Linked DNA regions of Pelodiscus sinensis. The protein of the gene in region 2 interacts with the protein of the main gene of each other region in a biochemical or structural test. Links are inferred from orthologs where the notes say so. Each region holds a gene or a part of one and is shown on either strand. Other genes may lie near its edges.

The links.
Region 1: the proteins of TJP1 (region 2) and claudin-4-like form a complex in vitro, tested with the Homo sapiens proteins (2 studies listed by BioGRID and IntAct, with this or other methods). The link is inferred for Pelodiscus sinensis from reciprocal best matches to the Homo sapiens genes TJP1 and CLDN4.

Annotation. Positions count from the first base shown.
Region 1 is NC_134731.1:19,101,853-19,112,386, reverse strand, and holds claudin-4-like, read right to left. Parts: upstream 4,233-10,534; 5' UTR 4,110-4,232; coding exon 3,480-4,109; 3' UTR 2,117-3,479; downstream 1-2,116. UniProt on the Homo sapiens protein: Can associate with other claudins to regulate tight junction structural and functional strand dynamics.
Region 2 is NC_134724.1:44,961,186-44,972,144, forward strand, and holds the start of TJP1 (tight junction protein 1), read right to left. Parts: upstream 5,116-10,959; 5' UTR 5,067-5,115; coding exon 4,972-5,066; intron 1-4,971. UniProt on the Homo sapiens protein: TJP1, TJP2, and TJP3 are closely related scaffolding proteins that link tight junction (TJ) transmembrane proteins such as claudins, junctional adhesion molecules, and occludin to the actin cytoskeleton.

The sequences.
Region 1 (10,534 bases), on a different chromosome or scaffold from region 2:
GGGGCAGGGTGGGGATCCGGAGGGAGCGTGGGGCTGGAGGCGGCGCAGGGTGGGGATCCGGAGGGAGCGTGGGGCTGGAGGCGGGGCAGGGTGGGGTCCGGAGGGGGTGTGGGGCTGGAGGCGGGCCAGGGTGGGGCTCTGGAAGGGGAGTGGGGCTGGAGGCGGGGCAGGGTGGGGGTCCAGAGGGAGTGTGGGGCTGGAGGCGGAGCAGGGTGGGGTCTGGAGGGAGTGTGGGGCTGGAGGCGAAGCAGGGTGGGGTCTGGAGGGGGCATGGGGCTGGAGGCGGGGCAGGGTGGGGCTCTGGAAGGGGAGTGGGGCTGTCGGCGGGGCAGGGTGGGGCTCTGGAGGGGGTGTGGGGCTGGAGGCGGAGCAGGGTGGGGCTCTGGAAGGGGAGTGGGGCTGGAGGCGGGACAGGGTGGGGTCCGGAAGGGGTGTGGGGCTGGAGGCGGAGCAGGGTGGGGCTCTGGAAGGGGAGTGGGGCTGGAGGCGGGGCAGGGTGGGGCTCTGGAAGGGGAGTGGGGCTGGAGGCGGGGCAGGGTGGGGGTCCAGAGGGAGTGTGGGGCTGGAGGCGGAGCAGGGTGGGGTCTGGAGGGGGTGTGGGGCTGGAGGCGGGGCAGGGTGGGGCTCTGGAAGGGGAGTGGGGCTGTCGGCGGGGCAGGGTGGGGCTCTGGAAGGGGAGTGGGGCTGGAGGCGGAGCAGAGTGGGGTCCGGAAGAGGTGTGGGGCTGGAGGCGGAGCAGGGTGGGGCTCTGGAAGGGGAGTGGGGCTGGAGGCGGGGCAGGGTGGGGTCCGGCAGAGGTGTGGGGCTGGAGGCGGAGCAGGGTGGGGCTCTGGAAGGGGAGTGGGGCTGGAGGCGGGGCAGGGTGGGGCTCTGGAAGGGGAGTGGGGCTGGAGGCGGGGCAGGGTGGGGTCCGGAGGGGGTGTGGGGCTGGAGGCGGGGCAGGGTGGGGGGTCCAGAGGGAGTGTGGGGCTGGAGGTGGAGCAGGGTGGGGCTCTGGAAGGCGAGTGGGGCTGGAGGCGGGGCAGGGTGGGGGTCCAGAGGGAGTGTGGGGCTGGAGGCGGAGCAGGGTGGGGCTCTGGAAGCGGAGTGGGGCTTGAGGCGGCACAGGGTGGGGTCCGGAGGGAGTGTGGGGCTGGAGGCGGGGCAGGGTGGGGTCCGGAGGGGGCGTGGGGCTTGAGGCGGTGCAGGGTGGGGTCCGGAGGGGGTGTGGGGCTGGAGGCAGAGCAGGGTGGGGGTCCGGAGGGGGCGTGGGGCTTGAGGCGGCGCAGGGTTGGGTCCGGAGGGGGTGTGGGGCTGGAGGCGGTGCAGGGTGGGGTCCGGAGGGGGTGTGGGGCTGGAGGCGGGGCAGGGTGGGGTCCGGAGGGGGTGTGGGGCTGGAGGCGGGGCAGGGTGGGGTCCGGAGGGGGTGTGGGGCTGGAGGCGGGGCAGGGTGGGGTCCGGAGGGGGTGTGGGGCTTGAGGCGGCGCAGGGTGGAGTCTGGAGGGGGTGTGGGGCTGGAGGCAGAGCAGGGTGGGGCTCTGGAAGGGGAGTGGGGCTGGAGGCGGAGCAGGGTGGGGCTCTGGAAGGGGAGTGGGGCTGGAGGCGGGGCAGGGTGAGGCTCTGGAAGGGGAGTGGGGCTGGAGGCGGGGCAGGGTGGGGTCCGGAATGGGAGTGGGGCTGGAGGCGGGGCAGGGTGGGGTCCGGAGGGGGTGTGGGGCTGGAGGCGGGGCAGGGTGGGGCTCTGGAAGGGAGTGGGGCTGGAGGCGGGGCAGGGTGGGGTCCGGAGGGGGCGTGGGGCTGGAGGCGGGGCAGGGTGGGGTCCGGAGGGGGTGTGGGGCTGGAGGCGGGGCAGGGTGGGGTCCGGAGGGGGTGTGGGGCTGGAGGCGGGGCAGGGTGGGGTCCGGAGGGGGAGTGGGGCTGCAGGCGGCGTGGAGGGGGCTCCGGGGAGGGGAGGGGGGAGGGGGAAGGGGTGCCCCCAGGGCAGCCAAGCAAACGCGACAGGCCCGGCAGGCTCGGAGCAGCTGCAGTTTAATGTTGAAATCCCAATGGCGTCTACGGACACTTCCCACGGGCAGGAGGGTCCCGGCACAGCCCCCAGCCCAGTCAGGAGGCACCCCCCTCCCGGCCCCCTCCCGGCTCACCCCCCCCCCGGCACCTGCCCTCTTCCCCCCTCTCCCGCCCTCTGCTGGGGCAGCCGGCAGGTCTCCACCCGGGAGCTGCCTGGGCCAGTCTGTCTGCTGGGAGCCCGCAGGAGGCTGGTGGACCTGCCCGGGGCTGCTGCAGTGATACCCCCACCCCCGGGGCTCTGGGCGGCCTCCAGCCTGCTCGGGTCAGACTCGGCCGGAGGGGCAGTGGGCGGCCGCAGGCTCCGAGAGCCGCCAGGAAACACCTTCCCTTTCGGCTCTCGCTCAGCCTGCCTGGCCCTGCTCCCACCTCCCAGACCGGTTTGCCCAGCTGGGCCCTGCCATCCCGCCCCGCCCGGCTCACGCAGGAACCACAGGTGCAGCTAAACAAACAGGGCCTGAGAGTGGCGCACTGCAAACCCGGGGCAGGGCCGGCGGAGCCCCGCGCTGCCTCTGGGGGTGCTAAGAGCAGGCCAGAGCCCCGTTTCCACGTGGGGCTCTCCAGTCTGGCTCGGAGCTGGGAGGGCAGAAGCAGCCGGGAGTCCTCTGCCTGCTCAGCTCTGGGGACGGGGCACGAGCCACGTCCGGAGTGACACTGCCCCCGAGCAGAGCTTGCCGGAGCCCTGGGGAGCGCGGGAGACGGGTGCCTGCACGACAGGCCCACACAGAAACCCAGCAGCATGCCCAGAGCTTGGCACACCGCCACCCCACACATACCCAGCCCCACACCGCCTGCGTGGGCCCAGCGCTTTCACTCTCCTAAGCCAGCTCCCGCTGGGACCTCCGCCAGGCCCCCCGGACGGACCCGAGGCCTGGCGCCGGAAGGAGGCCTCCCCTCAGGCACAACCCCTGAGCCTGGCTGCAGCTTCCCCTTCCTCCGGAGAGGCTGGGCTCTGCTCCCAGGGACCTGTCCTGCCCAGCCCCTCCAGCACGGGGCGTGACCACGGACCTGCCACGTCTGTTACTCCCTGCCCCCGCACGCCTCTCCCCCCTTCCCGAGCGGGCACAGGGGGCAGGCCTGCAGGGGCTCACAGCACCAGCTGGCTTCGCCCGGGGGCTGGGAGCAATTCCAGGAGCTCTCAGTGCCCTGGCCACACGCTGCAGGGGCAGAGTCTTAGCGCCAGGCCTGGCAGCCGCTCAGCAGCCAGGGATGTGCCGGGGGCGCGTCTGAGCAGCCAGCCAGTCCTGCACCTCGGGGCTTCTGCTCAGGAGCCTGCGCCCCCTCCCAAGGCCCCTTCTCCTTCGGGAAGCTCTGTCTGTTCAGCCCCTGGGCAGTGGGGGAGAGCTGGGCTCAGGCAGAGCAGCGGGCTGGGGCTGGGCAGGAGTCTCTCGGGGAGCTGGGCCCCCGCGCTGGGGAGGCCCAGAGCCCGCCCGTCCCTAGACGTAGTTGCTGACCGGCCCCGAGCGCGCCGCCGTGTAGTTGGCAGAGTAGGGCTTCTCATTCTTGGGGGGGCAGCTGCAGCAGAGCAGGGACCCCCCAATGAGCAGGAGCGCGGAGCCAGCCCAGCCGATGTAGAGCGAGGCCCCCAGCTCCCGCTTCTGCGCCTCGGTGACCAGCGGGTTGTAGAAGTCGCGGATGATGTTGTTGGCCGACCAGCACACGGGGATGAGGATCATGATGCCCGAGATGATGAAGATGCTCCCGGCGACGATCGTGACCTTGGCTTTGGCAGACGCGTCCTCCACGCAGTTGGTGCATTTCCCGCCCACGAGGGCCAGGAGCAGGCCCAGCACGGCCAGCACGATGGCGATCACCACCAGGGCGCGGGCGGCCTGCAGGTCCTGGGGCAGGGCCAGCATGGAGTCGTAGACCTTGCACTGCATCTGGCCCGTGCTCTGCACCACGCAGTTCATCCACAGCCCCTCCCAGATGATCTGGGCCACCACGATGTTGTTCCCGATGAAGGCCGTCACCCGCCACATGGGCAGCGCGCAGGTCAGGATGGAGCCCAGCCAGCCAATGACCGAGAGGGTGATGCCCAGCACCTGCAGCCCCATCGAAGCCATCTTGCCGTGCGCCCTGCCTCGCACGAGCCCGCACGGAGCTGACGGGTGTCCCTGGCAGCCGAGGTGCAGTGCTGTGCGGCTGGACCATCCGGACGAGTTATACACCTCTCAGGAGGCGGAGTGTCACTCCCCCCGTACAACCAGTTCCCCAGGATTCCTGGGCTCTGCATTCTCACCACCTCCGAGGACTCTTCCCTCCCCACGCAGCCTTCCTGCTCCCCCTGCAGTGGAGGGAGGCTGCTGCTGGAGGCACACAGCTGGGCTGCCTTACAGCTCCCTCCATTGTCCTGAACAGGCTTTTCCCAGCTTCGCCCCAGCCCCCCAGCGAGTGGGAGACAGCGGAGGGAGCAGGCTCTGTGGGTGGAGGAAGCTTGAGGGGCTGGGGCAGGAGTCTGGGCGCCAGGCCCGTCTCTGCCACAGCCCCACAGTGTGATTTTGGCCATGTCACGTACGCCATCGGTGCCTCAGTTTCCCCCTCTGTAGAATGGTGCTCCCAGGGTCACTGCTGTGGGAGGGCTGGGCTTTCCACAGCTGTCACTGCTCTTGGCCTTACCACGCTGGGCAGCCCCTGCTGAGCACAGCCCAGTGTGCAGAGCAGGGAGCTGTCACCGCGCCCCACCCTGCCCCAGCTGACAGAGCACAAGCAGCCCTCGGCTGTCCCATGGCTGGCTGTTGAGAGCATCCGGGTGTGAATCAGGCCTCAGGGATACGGTGTCCCCATTGTGCCTGGTCCCACCCATCCCCGAGAGCCCCAAACCGGTCTGAGCTGCTGCAGGCCGGCCAGAGGGGACAGGCTAGGGCAGGTCCCTGAGAACGAGCACGGCGCACGAGGGCTTTCGTGGCTGTCACCACAGCAGCCTCCTCCCCTGCACAGCGGTGCCAGGCCCTGACTCAGCCCAGCCTCTGCTCAGAGCCTCCCCTCCGCACCTCTCCGGCAGGGCAGGGGGCGGAGCGAACTGGGGCCGCCCTGCCTTTCGCCTTGGGGCTGCCGGCCGCTAACCCAGGTGCAGGACGCTGGCCCTTCCCTGCCCAGCCCAGCTCGCCGGGCGCACGCCTGCGCTCTGCTGGGACGCGAGCGGGATCGGAGCGATGCAGCTTCGGAGGGGACGCGCCCTAGAGAGCCGCCAGCTGGCCAGGGAGAGCCGCGGGCCCTGGGGCAGAGTGGGCAACGGGTCTCTCCCGTGAGCCCTCACCAGCCCCACAGGCCCCCGGCCTACCTAGGCATTTGCACACCCCTCGCTGTGGCTTCAGGCCAGCCAGGACGGCTGCGTGGACCCGGGGCAGTTCCTGGGAGAACGCCAGAGCAGGGGCCGGGACCTGGGTCCTTCCCAGAGAGCCGAGCACCAGCCCAGGCATTCGGCCAGTGGCCACTTGTGACACGTGTCTGGAATCAGAGCCCCCCCCCCCATGCCCGCCCTGCCTCTCGCCAACTGGGACAGCAGCAGAGAGGTGTGGGAAGGGAGGGGCGGGGCGATCGCACCAGCTTCCCCATGCCTGGGAGTCTGCCCCGCCATCAACATCCAGGGTCCCGCTGGCCCCACTAGCTTTGCCACCCCCAGGGTCCCACCGCCGGCCCACGGCTCTGCTACCCCCCAGGGTCCCACCGCCGGCCTGGGGCTCTGCTGCCCCCCGGGGTCCCACCACCGGCCCGGGGCTCTGCTACCCCCCAGGGTCCCACCGCCAGCCTGGGGCTCTGCTGCCCCCCGGGGTCCCACCACCGGCCCGGGGCTCTGCTACCCCCCAGGGTCCCACCGCCGGCCTGGGCTCTGCTGCCCCCCGGGGTCCCACCGCCGACCCAGGGCTCTGCTACCCCCCAGGGTCCCACCGCCGGCCTGGGCTCTGCTGCCCCCCGGGGTCCCACCACCGGCCCGGGGCTCTGCTACCCCCCAGGGTCCCACCGCCGGCCTGGGGCTCTGCTGCCCCCCGGGGTCCCACCGCCGGCCTGGGGCTCTGCTACCCCCCGGGGTCCCACCACCGGCCCGGGGCTCTGCTACCCCCCGGGGTCCCACCACCGGCCCAGGGCTCTGCTACTCCCCGGGGTCCCACCGCCGGCCCGGGGCTCTGCTACCTCCAGGGTCCCACCGCCGACCCGGGGCTCTGCTACCCCCCAGGGTCCCACCGCCAGCCCGGGGCTCTGCTACCCCCCAGGGTCCCACCGCCAGCCCGGGGCTCTGCTACCCCCGGGGTCCCACCGCCGGCCCGGGGCTCTGCTACCCCCGGGGTCCCACCACCGGCCCGGGGCTCTGCTACCCCCGGGGTCCCACCGCCGGCCCAGGGCTCTGCTACCCCCGGGGTCCCACCGCCGGCCTGGGGCTCTGCTACCCCCCAGGGTCCCACCGCCAGCCCGGGGCTCTGCTACCCCCGGGGTCCCACCGCCGGCCCGGGGCTCTGCTGCCCCCCGGGGTCCCACCGCCGGCCTGGGGCTCTGCTGCCCCCCGGGGTCCCACCGCCGGCCCGGGGCTCTGCTACCCCCGGGGTCCCACCGCCGGCCTGGGGCTCTGCTACCCCCGGGGTCCCACCGCCAGCCCAGGGCTCTGCTGCCCCCCAGGGTCCCACCACTGGCCCGGGGCTCTGCTGCCCCCCAGGGTCCCACCGCCGGCCCGGGGCTCTGCTGCCCCCCAGGGTCCCATCACTGGCCCGGGGCTCTGCTACCCCCCGGGGTCCCACCGCCGGCCCGGGGCTCTGCTACCCCCCGGGGTCCCACCGCCAGCCCGGGGCTCTGCTGCCCCCCAGGGTCCCACCGCCAGCCCGGGGCTCTGCTGCCCCCCCAGGGTCCCACCGCCAGCCCGGGGCTCTGCTGCCCCCCGGGGTCCCACCGCCAGCCCGGGGCTCTGCTACCCCCGGGGTCCCACCGCCGGCCCGGGGCTCTGCTACCCCCGGGGTCCCACCGCCGGCCCGGGGCTCTGCTACCCCCCGGGGTCCCACCGCCGGCCCGGGGCTCTGCTACCCCCCGGGGTCCCACCGCCGGCCCGGGGCTCTGCTACCCCCGGGGTCCCACCGCCGGCCCGGGGCTCTGCTACCCCCGGGGTCCCACCGCCGGCCCGGGGCTCTGCTACCCCCCGGGGTCCCACCGCCGGCCCGGGGCTCTGCTGCCCCCCGGGGTCCCACCGCCGGCCCGGGGCTCTGCTGCCCCCCGGGGTCCCACCGCCGGCCCGGGGCTCTGCTGCCCCCCGGGGTCCCACCACTGGCCTGGGGCTCTGCTACCCCCCAGGGTCCCACCGCCGGCCCGGGGCTCTGCTGCCCCCCGGGGTCCCACCGCCGGCCCGGGGCTCTGCTGCCCCCCGGGGTCCCACCGCCGGCCCGGGGCTCTGCTGCCCCCCGGGGTCCCACCACTGGCCTGGGGCTCTGCTGCCCCCCAGGGTCCCACCGCCGGCCTGGGGCTCTGCTGCCCCCCGGGGTCCCACCGCCGGCCTGGGGCTCTGCTGCCCCCCAGGGTCCCACCGCCGGCCCGGGGCTCTGCTACCCCCCAGGGTCCCACCGCCGGCCTGGGGCTCTGCTGCCCCCCGGGGTCCCACCGCCGGCCTGGGGCTCTGCTGCCCCCCGGGGTCCCACCGCCGGCCTGGGGCTCTGCTGCCCCCCAGGGTCCCACCGCCAGCCCGGGGCTCTGCTACCCCCCAGGGTCCCACCGCCGGCCCGGGGCTCTGCTACCCCCCAGGGTCCCACCGCCGGCCCGGGGCTCTGCTGCCCCCCGGGGTCCCACCGCCGGCCCGGGGCTCTGCTGCCCCCCAGGGTCCCACCGCCGGCCCGGGGCTCTGCTACCCCCCAGGGTCCCACCGCCGGCCTGGGGCTCTGCTGCCCCCCGGGGTCCCACCGCCGGCCTGGGGCTCTGCTGCCCCCCAGGGTCCCACCGCCGGCCCGGGGCTCTGCTGCCCCCCAGGGTCCCACCGCCAGCCCGGGGCTCTGCTACCCCCCAGGGTCCCACCGCCGGCCCGGGGCTCTGCTACCCCCCAGGGTCCCACCGCCGGCCCGGGGCTCTGCTGCCCCCCGGGGTCCCACCGCCGGCCCGGGGCTCTGCTGCCCCCCAGGGTCCCACCGCCGGCCCGGGGCTCTGCTGCCCCCCAGGGTCCCACCGCCGGCCCGGGGCTCTGCTACCCCCCAGGGTCCCACCGCCGGCCTGGGGCTCTGCTACCCCCCGGGGTCCCACCACTGGCCTGGGGCTCTGCTACCCCCCGGGGTCCCACCGCCGGCCCGGGGCTCAGCAGCTGGGGCAGCGAGGAGCTTGAGGTGCTGGCTCCCCAGGCCTGGCGGGCAGGGCAGGGACGGGTGTAAGGGGGAGGCTGTGGCAGGATGGCCGGGCCCAGCCCCATGCGGCCTGGCGAATGGTGGGGCCACAGCTGCAGCAGCGTGACCCAGAGGACGCCCCAGGCCTGGCAAGTGCCCTCCTGCAGCTCCGCGGGCCCCGGCTGGGCCTGTGCAGCGCCATGGAGACCAGAGACGTCAGGGTGCTAGACAAGCAAAGCTCAGTCGCCTTGGAGACGGTCACACCCACCGTCTGCCGCGCCCCTTGGGTCACCGCCTGGCCACACGTACTGACGGGGAAGCAGAAACTCCCGGGCTGAGCTACGGCCTCTCAGCCTCCCCGGGCTAGTGGGGACTCCCCTCTTCTGGCGCCAGCTGGGGAGGCTGAGGCCTCACGCCTGCGCGCCCCCCCGCGAGGGCCGTTAGTATTGCTGGACACTGCCCCCGAGCACGCCCGACCCTGCCGGCGGCTCTCACCGGCCTGCTGGGCAGAGCAGCTGCCTGCAGCGATGCCCAGGCTGCACTCTTCCATCGGAGAGAGGCGATTTGCGCTAGTTGCGTATCTTTTCTCGATTCAATTTCGAAAGAGGCTTTTTTGAAATTTGGCGAGTCTACACGGTGCCAAATTTCGGGAACCAGGGCTTTTGAGCCCTCCCTTATTCCTCGCAGAACGCGGTTTACAGGGATGGCGAAAGAGCACGTCCGTTCTTTCGAAAAGGATGTGAAGAGTGGACGCGTTCCTTGGACACAATGTTGCTTTTGGGGGATTCTTCCAGTATCCCGAGGAAGCAACGCCGTCTGGACGCAGCCTGAGAGAAGGGCTCCTCCGGCCCAGCTCGGAACAGGGCCCAGGTCTCTCCCAGACCAGGCCGAGGCCCCGTCAGGACGCCTGTAAGTGCACCAGTGTCCGTAACCGCAGAAACAGGCTCTGACACGGTCTCAGCCCTAGCGAGCAGACAGCAGAAAGAGGGTTATGAAAGCAGCCACTTCCACACCGAGAAAGCTGCTCTTGCCGGCTCCTGCCTGCACATGCAGCCAGTTAGGGCCGGGCTGTAGCGGACGGGGTGTCTGTGTCGTGCCCTGCCTGCTTGGTGCTCACACGGAGTGAGCTGCTTGCATGCAGAGAAGTGCCAGGCTAGGCAGGCAGCTACACACAGCAGCCAGGCGACCACAGTGGGCACCCACTGGCTCCAGATGTGCGAATCGCATGCTTCTCTCGGCCTGTAACAGCTGGATGCAGCAGAGGTTGCAGAGCTAACAGGTGGCATTTACACTCTGCGGGTATCCCATAGAGTGGTGACAAAATATGCACAAAGAAACCTGGAGAAATTGTTGGATCAGTTAGTGTAAAACTTCTGAGCTTAGAACTGAATTTGGATGCTGTTTCAACCCTGGAACACTAGAACTGGAAGGACCTTAAGCGGTCATCAAGTCCCATCCCCTGCCCTCTTGGCAGGACCAAGCACCATCTAGACCCTCCCTGGCAGGTGTCTGTCCAACCTGCTCTGAAATATCTCCAGGGAAGGAGATTCCACAACCCCCCTGGGCAATGTATTCCAGTGTTTCACCTCCGAAAGGCAGGAAGATTTTCCTAATGTCCAAGCCAAGGTTGCATTGTTAGCATTTGTGTTGTGGCTAATGGAAGCTGTCCTTTAAGAACATGGTGGGGCACCTTATGTGTGTTTGTGTCTGCGAATGGCAGCAGCGTATAGCAAATGTGACCCATCTGTCCAGATCGGGCCTATGCGAGCTCCCCAGAGCGCAGAACAAACCTTCCCTTAACAGTCTCCTGCATGAAGAGAAGAGCCCATGGGGGACTGACAGACGCTGGGCACTGCTATGAGCTCCAGAGCCCTGAGCGAATGAGCATGCTCAGCTCTGGAGCCCATCTGGATCCTCTGTCCTGCTCCTTGGGCCGCAACCCTCAGTTATGTGCTGGGGTGGGTGTGACGTAGTGGGGGGTACCTTGCTGGTTGCTGGGCAGTGGGTTGGGAGTGACCTCCACTGGCTGCTGGCTGCAGCACGGCCCAGCAGGGCCGGGGATGAGTCATTATGCAAGGGGGCTTCGAACCTGTCCGACCAGTGTCTCCCAGGGAGCGGAACAATGGGAAGAAGGGGAGTGGAGCCCTGGCTGGGGGCAGGGCTGGAAGTGAGGGAGTTAGGTTTCTGGCTGGGATCATGGAGGA
Region 2 (10,959 bases):
TTTCCGCAAAAGCACTTTTTGCGGAAAAGCATCCTTGGCCAATCTAGACACGGTTTTCCGCAAAAAAAAGCCCCGATCACCATTTTCGCGATCGGGGCTTTTTTGCGGAAAAGAAATCTCTGCTGTCTACACTGGCCCTTTTGCACAAAAGTCTTTCGGAAAAAGACTTTTGCCCGAACGGGAGCAGCATAGTTTTTCCCACAAAAGCACTGACAATCTTACATGAGATCGTCAGTGCTTTTGCGGACATTCAAGCGGCCAGTGTAGACAGCTGGCAAGTTTTTCCGCAAAAGTAGATGATTTTGCGGGAAAACTTGCCAGTCTAGACACATCCGGGAGGAAATGATCTATTAGAAACTGTGTATCTGCAATTTCTTGAGTCTGATACATTACATATTTTCTATAAACTGTGGGCTACCTTAGACAATCCCCAAACATGTACAAGAGTCTCATATTTACACTATTCATCTCTCTCTCAGGCTATTTCTACACTAGGTGATTCTTTTGAATTTACTAAGTTTAACTTCTGGCCACCCAATTTTACAAATTCGAAGTTGTGTGTCCTCACTATGGGGAAGAATCTAATGTAGTCTGAGGTAGCGTGTCCACATTAACAGAGCCTGCTTCAGACACAGAGCCCCGGGAAGCACTTTGGGGAACTGTGGGAGGCCTAATTAGTTTGAATTAGTGGCAACAGAGTGTCTGTACTTACATTATTTTGGACTTACAAGTTCAGGAATAGCATTATTCCTCGTGAAAAGCAAGACTACAAAAGTTGAATTCCATGGCCCCTTACTCCGGAATAACAAGCTTGATAGTGTGGACGCATCACTTAGAAAATCAACCTTGGGGGGCTAATTTCAGAGTAAGGTCATAGTGTAGACCAGGCCTTTATGATTGCCATAATAATCTCAATACTATCGACAGAATCTTATATCTTGTTTTCTGAACCTTCTCACAAAGGGTTCATTTCTGCACCATTGAAGTCAACAGAAGTTCCACCGCTTTTAGAATTCTCACAGACTGTGATTTATTTCTCTCACTAAAATCTTGTCCTGATTTCACGTATATTTCTTATAAAACTTGTTTCTCCATTGAAAGTCTTTTAAAGTTTAGACCAGTGATTCCCAACCTTTTTCCTATGGAAGAAGCCCTAAAATAATTTTTCATATCCCGGGGAACCCCTTTGAAAACGTTTGCTTGGCCAGAAAAAGTTGACAGTGGGGAGCGCAATTCAATTACTGCTAAATTATTGTCAAGAAAATTTATTTGTAAAGAGCTGTTATATATAATGTCAGCTTACATTGTAAGGAAAAAAATTATTTATTTATTCCACGATTTCTCGCGGAACCTCTGACAATGGTCTGTGGAACCCCAGGGTTCCACGGAACCCTGGTTGGGAAACACTGGTCTAGACATTAAAACCTTACTCCCAGTTTGGTAGGAAATTACATGTATTAATTGCATGACTTAGCTCTTTTACAAAACATTTTACTTGCAGGTATTTAGATTTCAGTAAATATTTACTTTGGCCTATTGTTTTAAGATTTTTACATGTCAATAGTTTATTTTCCTTAAGTAATTTTGCAGCTGGGTTAATTCATACTGTACTCTATCTTAAAAAACACCCAACTATCTGCTGACATTGACAGTAAAAATCCTGGATTGTCTTACCAAGGTTAAATAGACTGACAATTTTCTGGGTGTGATTACCACATCTCAAATTCTTACTTCTGTTTTTTAACAGCTGCTATAGCCACGGTTCAATGTCAATATAAAGGATTCACAATTCTTCAAATCTACAATCCTACTGCAAATTTGAAAACAGTAGTTCTGCTGGGAAGTTCTTAAAAGTTCACATTTGCAACCATAATTTAAGTGTGCTGTAGCAAATAATAGTTTATTTTATAGAAAGTGTATATCATGCTCATAAAATGTGCCAGCTGACAACTTGAGAAGTAAAGGCTTCTATTCACGAACCAGGTGAAACACAGTACTGCAAACTTCCCACACTGCCTCAGACCTGACCTACACAGAGGGACCTCTCTTAGGAAAGAGATTAGTAAATTTTTAGCCTCTCTGCTAATTACTGCCAATTATGATGGTAGTTTTGCAACATGGGAATAAGACTGAGACCATCCGACTCACTTAATATATAGCCTATAGAATAGGTATCAGATGGAAAAAGCTGACAGACAATGGTAACATAGATTGGGTTTGAACTGACAACCTAGGGAATCAAAGCTTCTATAGCTGATTACCCATCCCATTAGAGAGCCAACATCCATCTTTTTTTGTTTTGATCTTGTTCTGTGAAACACAAAAAGCACAGCTATAGGACTTATAATTTTTTATGAGGGGGGGAGTGGGAGGAAATTAGAGTGGCAGATGCTCGATAAAGGAATAAACAATTGCTGCTACCTTTTTCATTTTCATTCAGTAGGATTCAGGTGGATTATCTCCACCAACTAAAGATAAATATTTTAAATCTTTTTTATAAAATGATTCATTTTGCTTGCTCTTACAGTATGTACTAACATATATATAAAACAACTTTTGAACCTGACTGGGCAAAAAAGAATACTGAAATTCTTACTTTGATAAACGAAGACTATGCTACCTTTTGATCATATTAAAGGCGATTTATACATTCTCTTTTTGTACACCAGGCTAGAGACTATTGATATATGGTAATGGAATGTACTTTTTGCAATATATTGCATTGATTTACATAATAAAATTAATATATTTATTTCACAAAAATTAAGCTTTATATAACATATGATTTGAAAAAAATGACAATACAATCTTAAGTACAAATATATCCCTTAGGAACACTTTTAAATGTAGTGTAAATTACTATTTCAACCCCGACACATAGCCACACAGACAGTCTCATATGGAACTCACTCAGGATCCTAGTGCAAAGTTGAAACCTACATTACTATGTCGCATGCTGATGGGGAGATAAGAATTTGAAGAAATAATCAAAAGATGTAGAATATAAAGATTTAAGTAACTGGCATGAATTCTTACATAGAAAAAAAATCATGATCCTTTGACCCAGACCATCAACAACTCAACTCCTCACACAAATATGACATTGATGAACAGCATACTTTTCCTTCAACAAACATTTGTTCTTCATTCAGGACCTACTATAGTGTCTTGCTTGTCTCTCTGAAAGTAGGGAAATTTCTCCATAAAACTAGGAAATATGGGTTGATTTTATTCTCACTGAAGAAAATGGAAGTATACAATACTGTATACTATATGTACTGTCAGCAAAGTAAAAAGGAATAGCATTGACAAGAGAAGAGTATAGGTAGTTGCACTTTATCTTTCTGACAATCAAACCCAAGCCACTATATATAGTGTAAAAGATAACCATGTGTAAGTATATTTTTTTAAGGAAAATATCTGATTTTGTATGTTACACTTAACAAGAATATGTTTTTGCCAAATTAAGTTACTAAAATAATTTTATTTTCTGTAAACATTATAATAAGTTTATGCTAGAAATATTATTAGTTTTATATGTGAAAGCATAATTTATATACTCTGCGACTTTTTAAAATGCCAGAAAGCTAAATTAGTTTTTTAAATTTTACACTTTCTGCAGTATGAAGTAAAATGATAAACTATGAAAAAATATATCAATGTGTGCTTTGGAAAACAGTTGTTAAAGAAAACTTGAACCACGTAAAATGTTAGTTTAATGAAGTTGGCCTATAGAAATGTTACTATGCTTCCCAGTTTTACCTCATTCCTTGACATTGTCTGTTCTGGATGATCGTGTGAGAATAAAGGACAAAATAAAATAATGCCAAGATCCATAGTCACTATAGTATATGTATTGCTGTCATGAGAGGCTGTTCATGAAAACAATTCATTTTGAAGCTACTTTATTGTTAAACAGTATGTCTTAGCACTTCCTTCTCAGACATTTTACACTTTCACCGTGACCCAGGGCCATGATGATAGGAAACCATAAGAACATTGCTGCTCACATCTCAACTTAAATCTTACAAAGATTTTTTTCTTAAGGTACAAATTTAATTCAAGATCCAAGGTATTTTTTTCTTAGAAAATTTGGCTTTTCAGTTAGGTAGATTTTCTTCTTAACATTATTTTTTCTGATGATATGCATCCTGCTGCTTCAATCATGCTAACAGTGGTCCTTTACAAGACAAAGAGTAACTGGGTATTGCAATGCTTTATGCTTCCTGGTGTCCTACTCACCCACATTGCAGTTTTACAGTGCTCTATTTTTTTCTTAACATACTGTCAGTTCACCTAGAAAACAATTCTAGTTCACCAATCAGTAAGCCCAAAAACCACTGGAAATGTGTCAAAAGAAAAATAAGTATATTTTAAAATTAAAAGTATAATATTATATTTAGATACTGCATGTCCCTTTTTGAGATTCACACTTGCCAAGAAAAATAAAGGGCTGACATTTGGAAGTGAAGCTTTATTCCTACTACGGATCAAAGAAGCAAATATCAAACAATCATTGGGAATATAGGATCAGACTGCCATGCCTATGATATGCGGTGTTGTTGTAGCTATAATAGACCTTCCTTGTAATTACCCCTGCACCTTTCCGAAGGAGCTGCCATTATTTTGACAAATGTTTGTTGTTTCTTTCTGAAAACACTTCTGAGAGTGCGAATCACACTGCTGGCCCAGGGAGAGGCTGGCGGCTGGGAGCTCCTTAAGCCAAGGCGTTTTCCTGAGAGGAGGCTGCAGCGGGCGAGCGGGCAGCTCCCCCAGCACGAGGCTGAGCACAGGGGCTGATCTGCCCGAACCCGCTCGGCGCACGATTCGCCGCGACCTGCGCCCGGGGCTTCCCGTGACACATTCCGGGCCCTGCAGTACGTGTCGGTTTGTCCCCACGGACCCCCAATGTGGGCAGCGCCGCGCGCCCGGTCCGGCACGAGCCCTTCCCCTCCGCCCGGCCCCACTCACCACAGCTTCCTCTTCAGGGGCATCAGGCTGCCCCGGTTGGAGGCGGTCACCCCTATGGCCATCTGCAGCACCGTCAGGTATTTCTGGTACTTCATCGCGCCGCCCCCCCGCGGGCCCGCCGCCGGCAGAGCCTCTCCAGCCGCTGCATGCAACCAGCAAAGCGCTCTCCCCGGCATCTGCCGCCCTGCGCCGCCGCCCGCCGCGCTGCCTCTTCCCGCCTCCGCCCGCCGCCCGCCGCGCTCCCCAGCTCCCTCTGCTCTGCCGCGCCTCCCCGCGCTGCCCCCCCCGCCGGGGGTCACGCCCTGCCCGCTCACCTGGCCGTCTCGCCCGGCCGCCTCCCCTCGCACCCTGGGGCCTCCGACCCCCCCTCCCCTCGCACCCTGGGGCCTCCGACCCCCCCTCCCGCGGGGCACCCTGGGGCCACCCTGACCCCCTCCCCTCGCACCCTGGGGCCTCCGACCCCCTCCCGCGGGGCACCCTGGGGCCTCCGACCCCCTCCCCTCGCACCCTGGGGCCACCGACCCCCTCCCGCGGGGCACCCTGGGGCCTCCGACCCCCTCCCCTCGCACCCTGGGGCCTCCGACCCCCTCCCGCGGGGCACCCTGGGGCCACCCTGACCTCCTCCCCTCGCACCCTGGGGCCTCCAACCCCCCCTCCCGCTGGGCACCCTGGGGCCACCCTGACCCCCTCCCCTCGCACCCTGGGGCCTCCGACCCCCCATCTCGCTGGGCACCCTGGGGCCTCCAACCCCCCCCATCTCTCTGGGCACCTGCGAGTCTCTGACCCCCCATCTCTCTGGGCACCTGCGAGTCTCTGACCCCTCATCTCTGTGATGCCCCCATCCCTCTAGGCACTTGGGTGACTCTCTATGCCCCCCCCATTTCTCTAGGCACCTCTCTCTGGCCCCCCATCTTTAGACCTCTCAGGTCCTCCCTCCCCACATCGCTGGGCATTTGGGGCCTTTCTCTCAGCTCTACACCCTGCCCCTCACAGGGTTTCCAAGAGGGTGTCACTTTCCCATCCTCCATCACTGGGCCTCTGGGCTCTTCCTCTCCCCACCCACTGCTAGTAACTGGGGTCTGTCTCCTCCCTCCTTCCAGAGCAGTGTTATGCCATATCCTACGGACAGCTCAGTTACCCAGTGCCGCTTTGCTGCTGCCATGCTCCGAGCCTGGCGCTGCCCTCTGCCCTCTAGGTTTCTGTCCCCGCCTCTCTAATCTTATTAGCGTCTAGAATAGTCCCATATTATTGTAATCCCTACCCCCATCACTTGTGATTTAGCTATAATCAGGCTGTGGAGCCAAGCACCACATCAAATGCAAACTGGCTACTGCTCAGAGGCAATGCCCACTGTGCCCTGGGCATAGGAGCTGGGGAGCTTCCCAGAAGTAGAACCTTAAATCAAAACTATCTTCTGAACAGAGAGAAAGAAATGGACAAGAAAGAGGATTATTAAGATCACCTGCCCTACATTCACCTCTGCACCACAGAGATGTGGAATCCTATGCAAAGCCTAATGAATCAACAGCAGAAATAACAAAATATCATTCCTGATGCTCTCACATCCAGAGAAATGATAGAAATGACTGCAGATTTGAAAGACTTATGGCCATTAAATCAGACCTATAAATGTGATATATTCATTCCTAGACATCCACTCTCTGGGCACCTTAACAAAAATAGCTAAAACCAATCATGTATTGAATCTTACACTCAAAACATTACACTAATAATCTCTCTCTATGTAAAATAATTTTCCTGTGGGACGACAGAGTGATGTAATCATGTGCTGCAGCACGAGGGGGGCTGCTATCGGCCCTTCTACTGCACCCTGCTCCCCCAGACTCTGCAGTTAGAGTCTGGGTTCCCTTCAGCCCCTCCTCAGGGATGCCCTGGGCTCCCCACTGGCCCCTGGCTTCCCTATAGGAGAGTTAGGGGGTGGTGGCAGTAGCCACCTCTGGCCTCACTTCTACTTCCGGATCTGGGCCACTGCCTACCTGGCACTCCTGCCTCATGTGCCCCCCTCACAAGATTACAGAGCCAGCAGCACACGCGCTTCCCCACATGCCAGATCCAATGCAGAGTCTTGGATCTTTCTCTTCCTCTCCTGCCCTACAGGAAGCCAGTGCTAGCGCTATAATCCTGGGGGTGGGGGAGAGGGCAGCACGAGGCTGGAGCGCCAGGCAGGAAGCCGCCCAAGGCAGGCAATGGTTCACACAGAATCAGGGCCCCAGACCTGGAAGTAGAAGTGGAGCCAGAGGCAGCTTCCCCATTGGAGCAGCAGGGAAAGCCCCTGGTGCTTGGTGGCATGAAAAAAAGTAAGTGCCCCCTCATGCCCAGCCCCTGCAATCCCAGTGCCTCATGTACCCCCGGCCAGCTGTCTCACCTCCTTCCCCTGGCCAGACACTCTACCCCCGACTGCTCCTGCCTCCTCCCCCAGGCCAGACACTGCCCAGTCGGAGCCCAGCCCCCATCTGGCCATTGCTCCTGTCCCCAGCCCTGATCTTGGGGCAGACCCTGCAGTCCAGTCCCCATCTGGTCACAGGAAGGGCTGGTAGCAGCCCCCTTCCTGCTGCAGCACAGTAAGAGGATAGGCCACAATCCAGCTGCAGTGGATAGATGGGGAGATTGGTAAGTGTAGAGAGCAGGAGGCACAGCCCCCTAATGATTTCTTAAACTTATTTTGGGCCTTTCTCCCCAAAGTTCCTTAATATTTACATAGTGTGATAGATGTTCATGGCACACCATAGGTGACTATAAAACAAGTTCCTGACCTAAAAGGCTTTCATTCTAAAGACAGCGTAGAGAGATAATAGGGTAACATCGTATAATGCTATCTATGTACTTTATAGAACCACTGAGGTCAAACATCTCTGGGGCAGAGGCCAGCATGTAGCTGACGAACTGACCGATAGCATTGAGATTATTTTTGGCTACAGATATTAGAGTAAAATATGTTGAGGAATCTTTCATGTCCACACATAGAAAAGTCTTTAAACAAAATACTAGCAAAAAGGAGACAAAGTAGTTTGGGCTTTGGCACAAAAGATGCCACCAATGAGCTTGGCTGTGAATACTGGGAAATAGTATCCCAGGCTCACAAGAGGCATGTCTACACTAGGAAATAATTTTGAAATAAGTAACATAGAAATAATAACTCCCAAAACAACAAAATCGAAATAGTGCGTCCCCACTACAGGGAGCATCGAAATTACTCAGAATGATTTCGAAATAGCGCATTGACACTGATTGGAGCCCGCCTTGGACTTAGAGCCCCTGGAAGCACTCCTGGGAAGGCATGTGTGGCTGCTTGGTCAGGCAAGCTGTGGTAGATGCTATCAGGACCTCCTCTCCATGGCTGCATCTCACACGCCACTCCTCCACAGGACACAAAACGGATGCCGTGTCCTCTGGTTGCCCTGGTGGACACCACAGCACTTCCAACATGGAGTCAGAGCTGCTGCAAAGCAGTGCTAGGCTCACGGGCCTTGTGCTGCACCGCATGGTGCAGTTCATCCAGACTGCCCACTTGCTGCTCCAGCAGGATGACTACCAGTCCGGACCAGAGGCCCTCATCACCCAGGTCCTGGCACTCCTATTGCTGCAAATGATCCTCAATCCCCTGGACACCATTGAATGATGCTTCTGATGGAGGGAGACCAGTTCAGTCTCATGGGACTGCATCATCCTGCAGCAATGGGATGACAAGCAGTGGCTCCAGAACTCCACACATGTGGAAGGCCACCTTCCTGGAGCACTGCAAATGGCTTGCCCCTGCCCTCAGGCAACAGCATCCTGGGCAACGCAGCCTTCCCCTTGCTCCCCTGACTTATGAAGCCCTACACAGGCAGCCTGGGACCCACCAAGATGACTCTGCCAGGCTGAGGAGGTGCTGCATAGTTGTGGAGTGTGTGTTTAGCCATTTAAAGGGGAGGTTCTGGAGTCTCCTCACCCGTCTGGAACTCAGAAAGCATAACATCCCCTTTGTGGTGGTGGCCTGCTGTGTGCCCACTACCTCTGTGAGAGCAAAGGGGAGACTTTGCTGCCAGGTTGGGGGCAGAGGCTGCACGGATGGCCGGGGCATACAAGCAGCTGGACACCAGAGCCATTTGACAAGCACATAAAGGGGCTTTGCTCATCAGGGAGGCCTTGAGGGAGAGTTTCAGCCAAGGTCAGCTGTGAGACTATCCCTTGTGCCTGTCCACACAGGACCCCTTACGTTGCCTCTCTGTGCTTTTCCTCCCGGACCCCCACCCCTTCCCACCTCCCCTGCCCCTGCAGAGCAAATAAAAAAGCCTTTAAAAAAAAACCAAGACTGTTTATTTGGGGGATATAAAACAGGGGAGGAACTGGGGGAAAGAATCTGGAATGCAGGAGGGGGAGGCGATCTCAGGGATGGGGCCTGGACTGACTGGGTAGCTTGGGAGGCTTTGTGTGCCTTAGAGGTCCCACTGCCCCGTGTTCTGGGACCCTGGTGGCTCCTGGGGGGGAGCTAGGAGGGAAAGGCAAGGGGAGATGGTTGGTGGCCTGCTCCATGCACAAGGCCATGTGCTCCATCAATGCAGTGAGGGAGGAGCACATGGCCTCCTGCTGGTGTGCCAGCTGGTTCCAGGGAGCCTTCCACTGCTCCTGGTCAGTAGCCTGCTCCTGGCACTCCTCTTCAAGCCCCTGGATGAGGGGCTCGAGGCAGGCCATCTGCTACCTCATTAGATCTTCCTGAGTATGTTTCCTCCTGCAGATCCCGGCGGGAGTCGGGAAGATGGCATGGGAGGTGGTGCACACATCACACTCACAGCTGGCTCAGCTGTGAAGAAAAGTTACAAGGGCAGTCATCCCAGGAGACCCTGTATATGAAGCCTAGCCCTAATCGCTGAGCTGACACTGAAGTTCTTGGTTCAGACAATAGCGATTTGCTTCGAGCAAGGCTATATGTTGTCTTGACAACAGGCACTTTCCTGCAGGGGGACGGATGTCCCAGGGGAGCATTGCTACACCCACAGCCTGGGGACAAGCAAGCATGGGAAGGTGCTGGCCAGGCCAGGAGCCTGCGGGTGGCAGGAGGAGACAGGGCAGCTCGGCTTCCTTCCATGTCCTGCACACACCGGGTCCAGCACTGGCGGCATCTCACAGAGAGAGAACTTCTATCCCTGCTCGCTAGAGGAGGATGGAGTTTGTGAGAGGTGTGTGCGAGTGGCAGAGGCTGCTTGCTGGGAGAATGCTACTGGGGTCCCCTCCACTTCCTCCCTCCCGACAGGTTACCATGCAGGGAATCGTGGCTGTGCTGACAGCACAGTACAGTACACGGGGGGGGTATGAAGGATGTGATCGCATCAACCCTTCCCCACCCATGGTCCTCCAAGTAAGCATGAGGCTGGGGCAGTACATTGCCCCAGCATCCCTCCCCAATGCTCTGGCTGGCTGGAGGAAAGCAGAAGCGGCGCAGTGCCCCAACCTCCCTCCCCTACGCGCTAGATGCTGGGAGAAGGCTGGGGCTGATTTGTCTCCCCCACCCGCCACCAAGAGTGGGGATGGGGACTGGGATGGGGATGGGCCTGGGTTGCAGGGGTGGGGCAGCCACCAGCGCCTCCCATGACTCAACCCCCCCCCCACACAGAAATTCCTGAATACAGGCCTGCTATTGTGTATGTGTATGATTGCTATCTAAAGAACAGAATATCAGACCTACTCAATTAGGCACCATAAACCTTAAGAGAAATAGAAGATGTGGTTAAGATCAGAAAAGTGACTGAAAAATGCCACTTTCTTGTTCAATTGACCTACTCCCTGTGTACATGCAGAATGGTCTCTGTTTACTTTAATGACTTTAAATGACTCTAATGTTTTTACTCATGTTAACCCCTGAGCCCACACAAGGCTATGAGAGAGCAGAAGCTGAATTTTATTCAGACCTATCATCAACAGAATTTTTTAGCTAAATTACATTTACCATACTCTGTTTTGCCCTTAATTACAGTTGTACAATTCCAT